Linked DNA regions of Callithrix jacchus. The protein of the gene in region 1 purifies or fractionates together with the protein of each later gene. This does not show direct contact. Links are inferred from orthologs where the notes say so. Each region holds a gene or a part of one and is shown on either strand. Other genes may lie near its edges. The genes, in order: NOP2 and SRPK2.

The links.
Region 2: the proteins of NOP2 (region 1) and SRPK2 purify together in Homo sapiens (affinity purification with mass spectrometry; 3 studies listed by BioGRID and IntAct, with this or other methods). This does not show direct contact. The link is inferred for Callithrix jacchus from reciprocal best matches to the Homo sapiens genes NOP2 and SRPK2.

Annotation. Positions count from the first base shown.
Region 1 is NC_133510.1:20,752,606-20,756,420, forward strand, and holds part of NOP2 (28S rRNA (cytosine(4447)-C(5))-methyltransferase), read right to left. Parts: intron 1,912-3,815; coding exon 1,856-1,911; intron 1,736-1,855; coding exon 1,582-1,735; intron 1,484-1,581; coding exon 1,286-1,483; intron 1,147-1,285; coding exon 1,057-1,146; intron 1-1,056. UniProt on the Homo sapiens protein: S-adenosyl-L-methionine-dependent methyltransferase that specifically methylates the C(5) position of cytosine 4447 in 28S rRNA. Required for efficient rRNA processing and 60S ribosomal subunit biogenesis.
Region 2 is NC_133512.1:75,497,526-75,501,340, forward strand, and holds part of SRPK2 (SRSF protein kinase 2), read right to left. Parts: intron 232-3,815; coding exon 47-231; 3' UTR 1-46. UniProt on the Homo sapiens protein: Serine/arginine-rich protein-specific kinase which specifically phosphorylates its substrates at serine residues located in regions rich in arginine/serine dipeptides, known as RS domains and is involved in the phosphorylation of SR splicing factors and the regulation of splicing.

The DNA.
Region 1 (3,815 bases):
TCTCACTCTGTTGCCCAGGCTAGAGTGCAGTGGCACAATCTCAGCTCACAGCAACCTCTACCTCCTGGATTCAAGCGATTCTTCCTCGTGCCTCAGACTACCAAGTAGCTGGAACTAAAAGTATGCACCACCACGTCAGGCTAATTTTTGTATTTTTCATAGAGATAGGGTTTCACCTTGTTGGCCAGGCTGGTCTCGAACTCCTGACCTCAGGTGATCCGCCTGCCTTGGCCTCCCAAAGTGCTGGGATAACAGGCGTGAGCCACCGCGCCAGACCAGGATGAAGATTTTAATAACCTCATAGGCTACTCTACCCAGAAAACAGATAAAGACATTAAAAACATGGTTCATAAGAACACGGCCCATGGCCCCACAACTCCTAGAGTGCTTACTGAGAACACAGTTATCATGGACTCATCAAGCAGTTTCTCTCTCTCACCCCATCCTATGGTGCCCTTTTTTCTTAACCTCAGGCTCCTAACTCAAGGTCTGAACTTCATTCCAACGGAGCAGGATGCCACCTCCTATTACTTTATTTCCTGGAAGTGGCATCTGATTTTCTAAGAGGCTGAGCCCCTCCCCCATCCAAAAAATTTAATATTGGTTACAGCATATAACATTATTAGGTTTTCTTCACACCAAGATATACAACACATATAACCAAACAGTTGACTTCAGAACAGGGGGTCTTTAATCTCGGGCCCCTGAACCCTTGGAAATGAGTTCAAAATACTGAGTGTGCATATGTGTATATGTCTTTTTTTTGCAGTGAGGAATTATGTTTCCCCAGCTCCTCAATGATCTTCCAACTTCCTTGGGAGGCAGCACACTCATCCCAGTCACAGGAAGCAAAAGCCGGATGGAGGGATGAACTTCCCATTTCCCAGAGGTCCTAGGCCCCTAGCCTGTCAGAGACACCAGGCCTCTGGGTTTGCCTCCCAGGATCTTGCTTAGGTCCTAAGGCCCCACCCAGTCAGGGTGGCATAGGGGAACCTCTGGAGTTGGCAGAAGTCAGTCCCCTTCTGAGGTGAGCAAACCTCAAAAGCCACCCCTTACCTGGGCAAGGTCTCGGCGTCGGGTTTTCAAGGTATTGGTCCGGAGGGTGACGGGCCGAGGCACCTCATTAGCTTCTAAGAACTCCACCAGCTTCGGGAAAGACAGCAGGGAATAAGTGAGGCTGGATAAGGAGCTCAGTCAGAGGGAGACAAGGAGGCTTGAACATCTTCCTTACACAGGTAAGGTGGTGAGAAAGAAAAGCAAAGGGGGCATTCTGGCAATCTAGTACCTCAGACAGAGGGAAGAGGTCCATGAGCTTGCCAAGCAGGAAGTCTCCATAGGAATAGTAAGTGGCCAGGTCCTTCTTGAGCCGATTCAGGTATTCAGAACGAGACCGCCCTTCTTCCCGCTGAGCCCCAAAATCACGCAGGATTCCCACGATATCCTGGATCCGCTTGTGAACTCGTTGCAGGTCTGGAGCCTGGGCATGTGGGCCTGTTAAGGAACTGTGTCATGATGTCCTAGGGCCTGGAAATAGCTCTACTAAGCACCTTCCTCCTACTGCTCACTCTGCCCTGCAAGGATATCCTGCTCCATCTCCCCAGCAGGGGGCAGCACAAACGGCTCCTCATCCACATTGATCTGCAGGCCCCCATCTGCCTCCTCCTCCTTTGGGGGGCCTGACTCAGAGGTCACTTCTTCCTCTTCATCCTCTGTCTCCTCTTCACTCCACTGGACTCTAGAAATAGGTCCAGGAACAGAGTGATTCACAAACCAAAACAAACACCTCCTCCTTCCTCACGGCTTCCCCCACCCCAGCTGCTGCCTATGCTCCATCCCAATTGCTTCCAAAACTCACCCAGCAGCAGCTTCCCGGGCCTTCTGCTTCCGAGCAGCTTTTTCAATGGGCAGCAACTGAAGAGACAAGGGTTGTTAACACAGGCCTGCCTTTCCATCAGCCCATGAAGCACTTTCTATCTCTGTATCTTATTTTTTCTGCTAAATAAAAATGTTGACACTTGCTCTCAGAAGGAAATAGAGAAGCAAAGAAATGAACATAAGATTGGTACAATACTGACCACTGTTGAAACTAAGTAATGAATTAGCCAGGCGTGGTGGCACACATCTATAATCCCAGCTACTTGGGAGGCTGAGGCAGGAGAATTGCTTGAACCCAGCAGGTGGAGGTTGCAGTGAGCTGGGATTGAGCCACTGCACTCTAGCCTGAGCGACCGAGCAAGACTCCATCTCAAAAAAAAAAACAAAAACTAAGTAATGAATTAAATCGGTAATTACACTTTTTTTTTCTACTCCTATGTTTTTCACTTTTCCATTCAGAAAAAAAAACTTGAAATACAAATACCTGTATGTATAAAAAGGGACAAGGACAGGCATGGTGGCTCACAACTGTCATCCCATCATTTGGGAGGCTGAGGCAAGGCAGGCGGATCATGAGGTCAGGAGATCAAGACCATCCTGCTAACACGATGAAACCCTGTCTCTACTAAAAATACAAAAAATTAGCCGGACGTAGTGGTACACACCTGTAGTCCCAGCTACTCAGAAGGCCGAGACAGGAGAATCGTTTGAACTCGGGAAACAGAGGTTGCAAAAAAAAAAAAAAAAAAAAAGACAAAAAATTGCCCTTGGCCACCATTTTGCCATATTTTTTCCAGACTTACTCTATATTTTTCACATAATGCATTTTCAAGTTTGTTTCTTGCTTTTGATACTTCAGTTAGATCACAAGCATTTTCACAGACATAATGACCAGTGTTAACTACATCATATGCATGAATATACTTAAGCAGATTGTATATTTTGGAAGTTTCCAGAGTTTCTGCCATCATGATCAACATGGTGCCTGCAAACCTCATAGTGACTCTGTAGATATAAGGCGTTGCAGGAAAGGGTGCACATGGAAACTTTTTTTATTCTATACAATTCTAATAATACATTCGCACACTAATTTTATAATAATTTCCTGCACACCTCAGTAAATAACTCTTTGCCTACATTTTGGGTCATCTTCCTTAACAGGGAATTACTATGTCAAAAGGATTCAGTTTTGTTTTGTTTTTTTCTGAGACAGTATCACTCTGTCATCCAGGCTGGAGTGCAGTAAAGATCGTAGGTCACTGCATCCTTAACCTCCCAAGCTCCAGTCATCTTCCCGCCTCAGCCTCCTGAGTAGCTGGGACTACAGGCGTATGCCACCACACCAGCTATTTTTTTTTTGAGTCTCATTTTGTTGCCCAGGCTGGTCTCGAACTCCTGAGCTCAGGTGATCCACCCAGCTTCCGAAAGTGCTAGGATTACAGGTGTGAGCCACTGCACTCGGCCAATTTTTAAAATTTTTTGTAGATACAGGTTCACTCTATGTTGTCCAAGCTAGTCTCCAACTCCTGGTCTCAAGAAATCCTCCTGCTTTAACCTCCCAAAGTGCGGGATTATAGATGTGAGCCACCATACCCAGCCAAAAGGAACACATTTTTCTTTTCTTTTCTTTTTTTTTGAGACGGAGTTTCACTCTTGTTACCCAGGCTGGAGTGCAATGGCGCGATCTCGGCTCACCGCAACCTCCGCCTCCTGGGTTCAGGCAATTCTCCTGCCTCAGCCTCCTGAGTAGCTGGGATTACAGGCACGTGCCACCATGCCCAGCTAATTTTTTGTATTTTTAGTAGAGACGGGGTTTCACCATGTTGACCAGGATGGTCTCGATCTGTTGACCTCGTGATCCACCCACCTTGGCCTCCCAAAGTGCTGGGATTACAGGCTTGAACCACCACGCCCGGCCGGAACACATTTTTCAAAGTTCT
Region 2 (3,815 bases), on another chromosome or scaffold:
TACTGGGAACATTTGCTAGCTCAGAATGCAATACTGGTAGAATTTGCTAAGAATTCAACCAAGGATGCCGAAGGCATTCACCAGCTGAGGCTCGTTTTTCTGGAACCATTTCTAACATCGGGATCAGGAAATCTGTAAACTGTGCAGCATCTTCATGGGGCCAGCCATACTTTTCCACAAGTACATCAAAGAGACTCCAGGGCTTCAGCTTGGTGATGTGTCGCAGTTCTCCTACAGGGGAAAAATCAGACCAATGTCAAGAAAGCTCCAAATTTGCATTTCCCATAGTTGGTCCAGTCAGGTTCTTTTCCATGAAGCGGACGACCATCTGCTCCACTCTTAGACGGCAACAACAAAGAACGCCAGCTTTTCCCCAGTAAGCAATAATCACAACATGTACATACGACCAAGGCACATTTCAAGGCAGCTTGGTGGATGTAAATAGAGGTTAAGAGTTCATTCATATCAGTTCTAAGTTTCTTTAAGTAAGTGGAGTGGGCTGAGTATGCCCAGAATGTTTTCTTTTCCAAAGGCTGAAGCAAGCCCCTCTTATTTCAACCTGGGATCTTTCATAAAATTTGCAAACTTGAGGCAAACCCAAATCGAACATCACTCATGTCTCCGCATTTGCTCTAAGATCTAAGATCCTAGGACATTAATTTGTAAACCTTGAAGTTATACTGCTGCAATAGGAAAAGTGTGGGTTACATGCAGCTTTGGTGACATAAAAGAATGACTAACAAGCTAGTAAATGGCCTATGAGCTGTAATAGTCATTGTATAAGAGAAAAAAAAGGTTATTTTTAAGTCAAACTGCAAAAAAGGGCTGGGAGCAGTGGAATCCTAGCCCTTTGGGAGGCTGAGGCAGGAGGATCCCTTGAGTCAATGAGTTTCAGACCAGCCTGGGTAACACAGACCCTGTCTCTACTTAAAAAAAAAAAACGGTAGCTGGGCATGGTGGCACATCCCAGCTCCTTAGGAAACTGAGGCAGGAACATTGCCTAAGTCTAGGAGGTCAAGGCTACAGTGAGTCAAGGTCATGCCATTGTTGTTCAGCCTATGAGAGGGAAACCCTGTCCCCCACAAACCTTTTCAAAAAGGCAGCAAACTGTCAAAAGGTCCAGAAAATTTCACTGTGAATAACTCATTTTCTCTGCCTGTTGGGATTTATGGACACCATGCCCCTGCCAACAGGCCTCCTTAGGTGCCCTTCAGTGCACCCTGAGCAGCTTCTGCAGAGGAAACACTGCCCTCTGCCTGTACCCTAGAACACCCAGATCTAGGTGGGGAGGGAGAGGCATTCAAGCACCCGCGGCACACTTCATGCAAAGGCTGATTTCTCTCTCCCCTTTCACCTGCTATATAGCAAGGTAAATTTTTTTTTTCATGAGCTGCATCAGTGATAATGATAATAGATAATCAGTGCTCTGCTCACAAAGGTGTTCTCAGGAGCTTGTTCTGTTTCACTCATTTATTCAAGTCAATTTAGAAATGCCCTCCCCTTTAAAAAATCATAATAAAAAGAAAAGAATATTACCGAAAATTCTAAGAACAAAAGGGGAAGTGGCCTACAATCCTACCCCACACAGATCTTCTGTTGTGTCTATTTTGAAGCATGTTCCTTTTTTTTTTTGAGATGGAGTCTCACTCTGTAGCCCAGGCTGGAGTATGGTGGTACGATCTGGGCTCACTGCAACCTTGGCCTCCCGGGTCCCAGTTCAAGCAATTCTCTTGCCTAAGCCTCCCTAGTAGCTGGGATTACAGGCCAGCTAATTTTTGTATTTTTAGTAGAGATGGGGTGTTTCACCAGGTTGGCCAAGCTGGACTTGAACTCCTGACTTCATGATCCACCTGCCTCGGCCTCCCAAAGTGCTGGGATTACAGGCGTGAGCCACCGCGCCCGGCCATGAAGCATATTCTTACACATTAGTATGTCTACAGAGTTGCAAACATGCTGTGCACAGGATTCTGTATGAAGAATCTTTTAAGAGGGCTTCTTGCTAAAGGAGTTAGCTTCTTGCTTCTGGCTCCAATATGAGGACTGGAGACACAGTTAAGTATCGCAGCCGAACTAGAGATCAGATCTGCATGGATGAAGAAATGAGCCTGCAATCTTAGGGGCAGGAAGGGATCTCCTGTTGAAGGAAACACAGCCTCCATAAAAACAAAGTCTGAGCCGTCAGTGACTGCAGATTTATCCCTCCACGTCTGAAATTCTGGCTCTAAGAATTAAGCCTAAGAAGATAAACCCTGGCTGCACCACCCCAAATTCATGCCTAATATATGTCAGCACAAAATTATATATACTTGCAAAATTACAAAGAGCCAATAAGAGGAAAACAGTGGTCAAACAAAACACAAGGTACATTCACTTGATTAATAATATTTAATATTACTTAACAATATGGGAGAAAAGCATAGTACAACATTGGGCAGTAAAAGAACAAACTATGTCCTACAGATCATCACAAGATTTATTATTAAAATGCTCATTAAGATGAAAATCAAGTGAATCAAAACACCAGCTTTTGTTAGTTGTTTCAATTTCTACATTTTGTAGATCTCACCACAGCAACAGTTACAGCAAACTAAGAAAGCTCACACATGACGAAAGCAAGTTCTCTGCGAAGGGGAGAGAACTTTTATGACATACAGCTATTCTATCTCAGAATAAACACTCTCTAGTTTGCAAATCAATGCAACTACAGAGAAGCACTATCTGCAGAAAATAGTAAAGGAACCTATTTCTGCGGGGCCAGGTTTTAAACTAAGACCCATCAACAAGGCATCAGATTAAGTACAGTCTTCCATGAAAAGATACACTTGACCACTACAGCTGCTTCACAGCTGTGTAGTACCAGTGAGGAAAACAATCCTGGAAGTTCATGAGAAACTACTCATCCATAACTAGGCATACTATAACCTGGTAGAAACATTTGCAAAGAGCAGCATAAAATATCTAACCACTTTTGACCAAGTAAAGACTGTAGGTGCAAAGCAGCAGTCTATAAACAGCGTCAGGAGAGTCCTAAACACCTGCGGTCCTCAACACATAGCAATTTAACAGAACACTGAACTGCCTCTAAAAAAATCAAGTATGTCGAGTGTGTAAGTATGTGGAAAAACTCCATAATGCAAAGAAAATCAATTCATCTAGAGGCTATAATGATTATATGTAGAAACCCTTAAACTCAGTATCAGAAGTAACCTTACCCTGGCAAGAGTTGGTAAGGTTACTTGAACACAAAGCCCAAGCCCCTTACTCTGTACTACTGGCTAGCAGACACAAGAGGAGTGGGCTCACTGGATGAGTGAGGTCAAGTCTTGAGTCCATGAGCCAGCTCCAGCCCTGCAGATGATACCCAAGAAACAGAGCCACCTCCATCACTTAGAATGATAAATAAGAATAAGAGAGAAAAGCATATTTCAAAAACACACTTTCACCATTTATTCTTATTATAAAAGTAGCACCCTAGCACCCTAACAAGTTAAAGAAATGTTACCGGCCAGGTGTGGTGGCTCATTCCTATAATGGTAGCACTTTGGGAGGCCGAGGCAAGTGGATCACCTGAGGTCAGAAGTTCAAGACCAGCCTGGCCAACATGGTGAAACCCAATCTTTAATAAATACAAAAATTAGCCAGGTGTGGTGGTGTGCACCTGTAATCCCAGCTACTCAAGAGTCTGAGGCACAAGAATCGTTTGAACCCAGGAGGTGGAGGTTGCAGTGAGTAGAGATGGAGCCACTGCATTCCAGCCTAGGCAACAGAACAAGACTCTTTGTCTCAAAAAAAAAAAAAAGTTACCTTGAAAATTA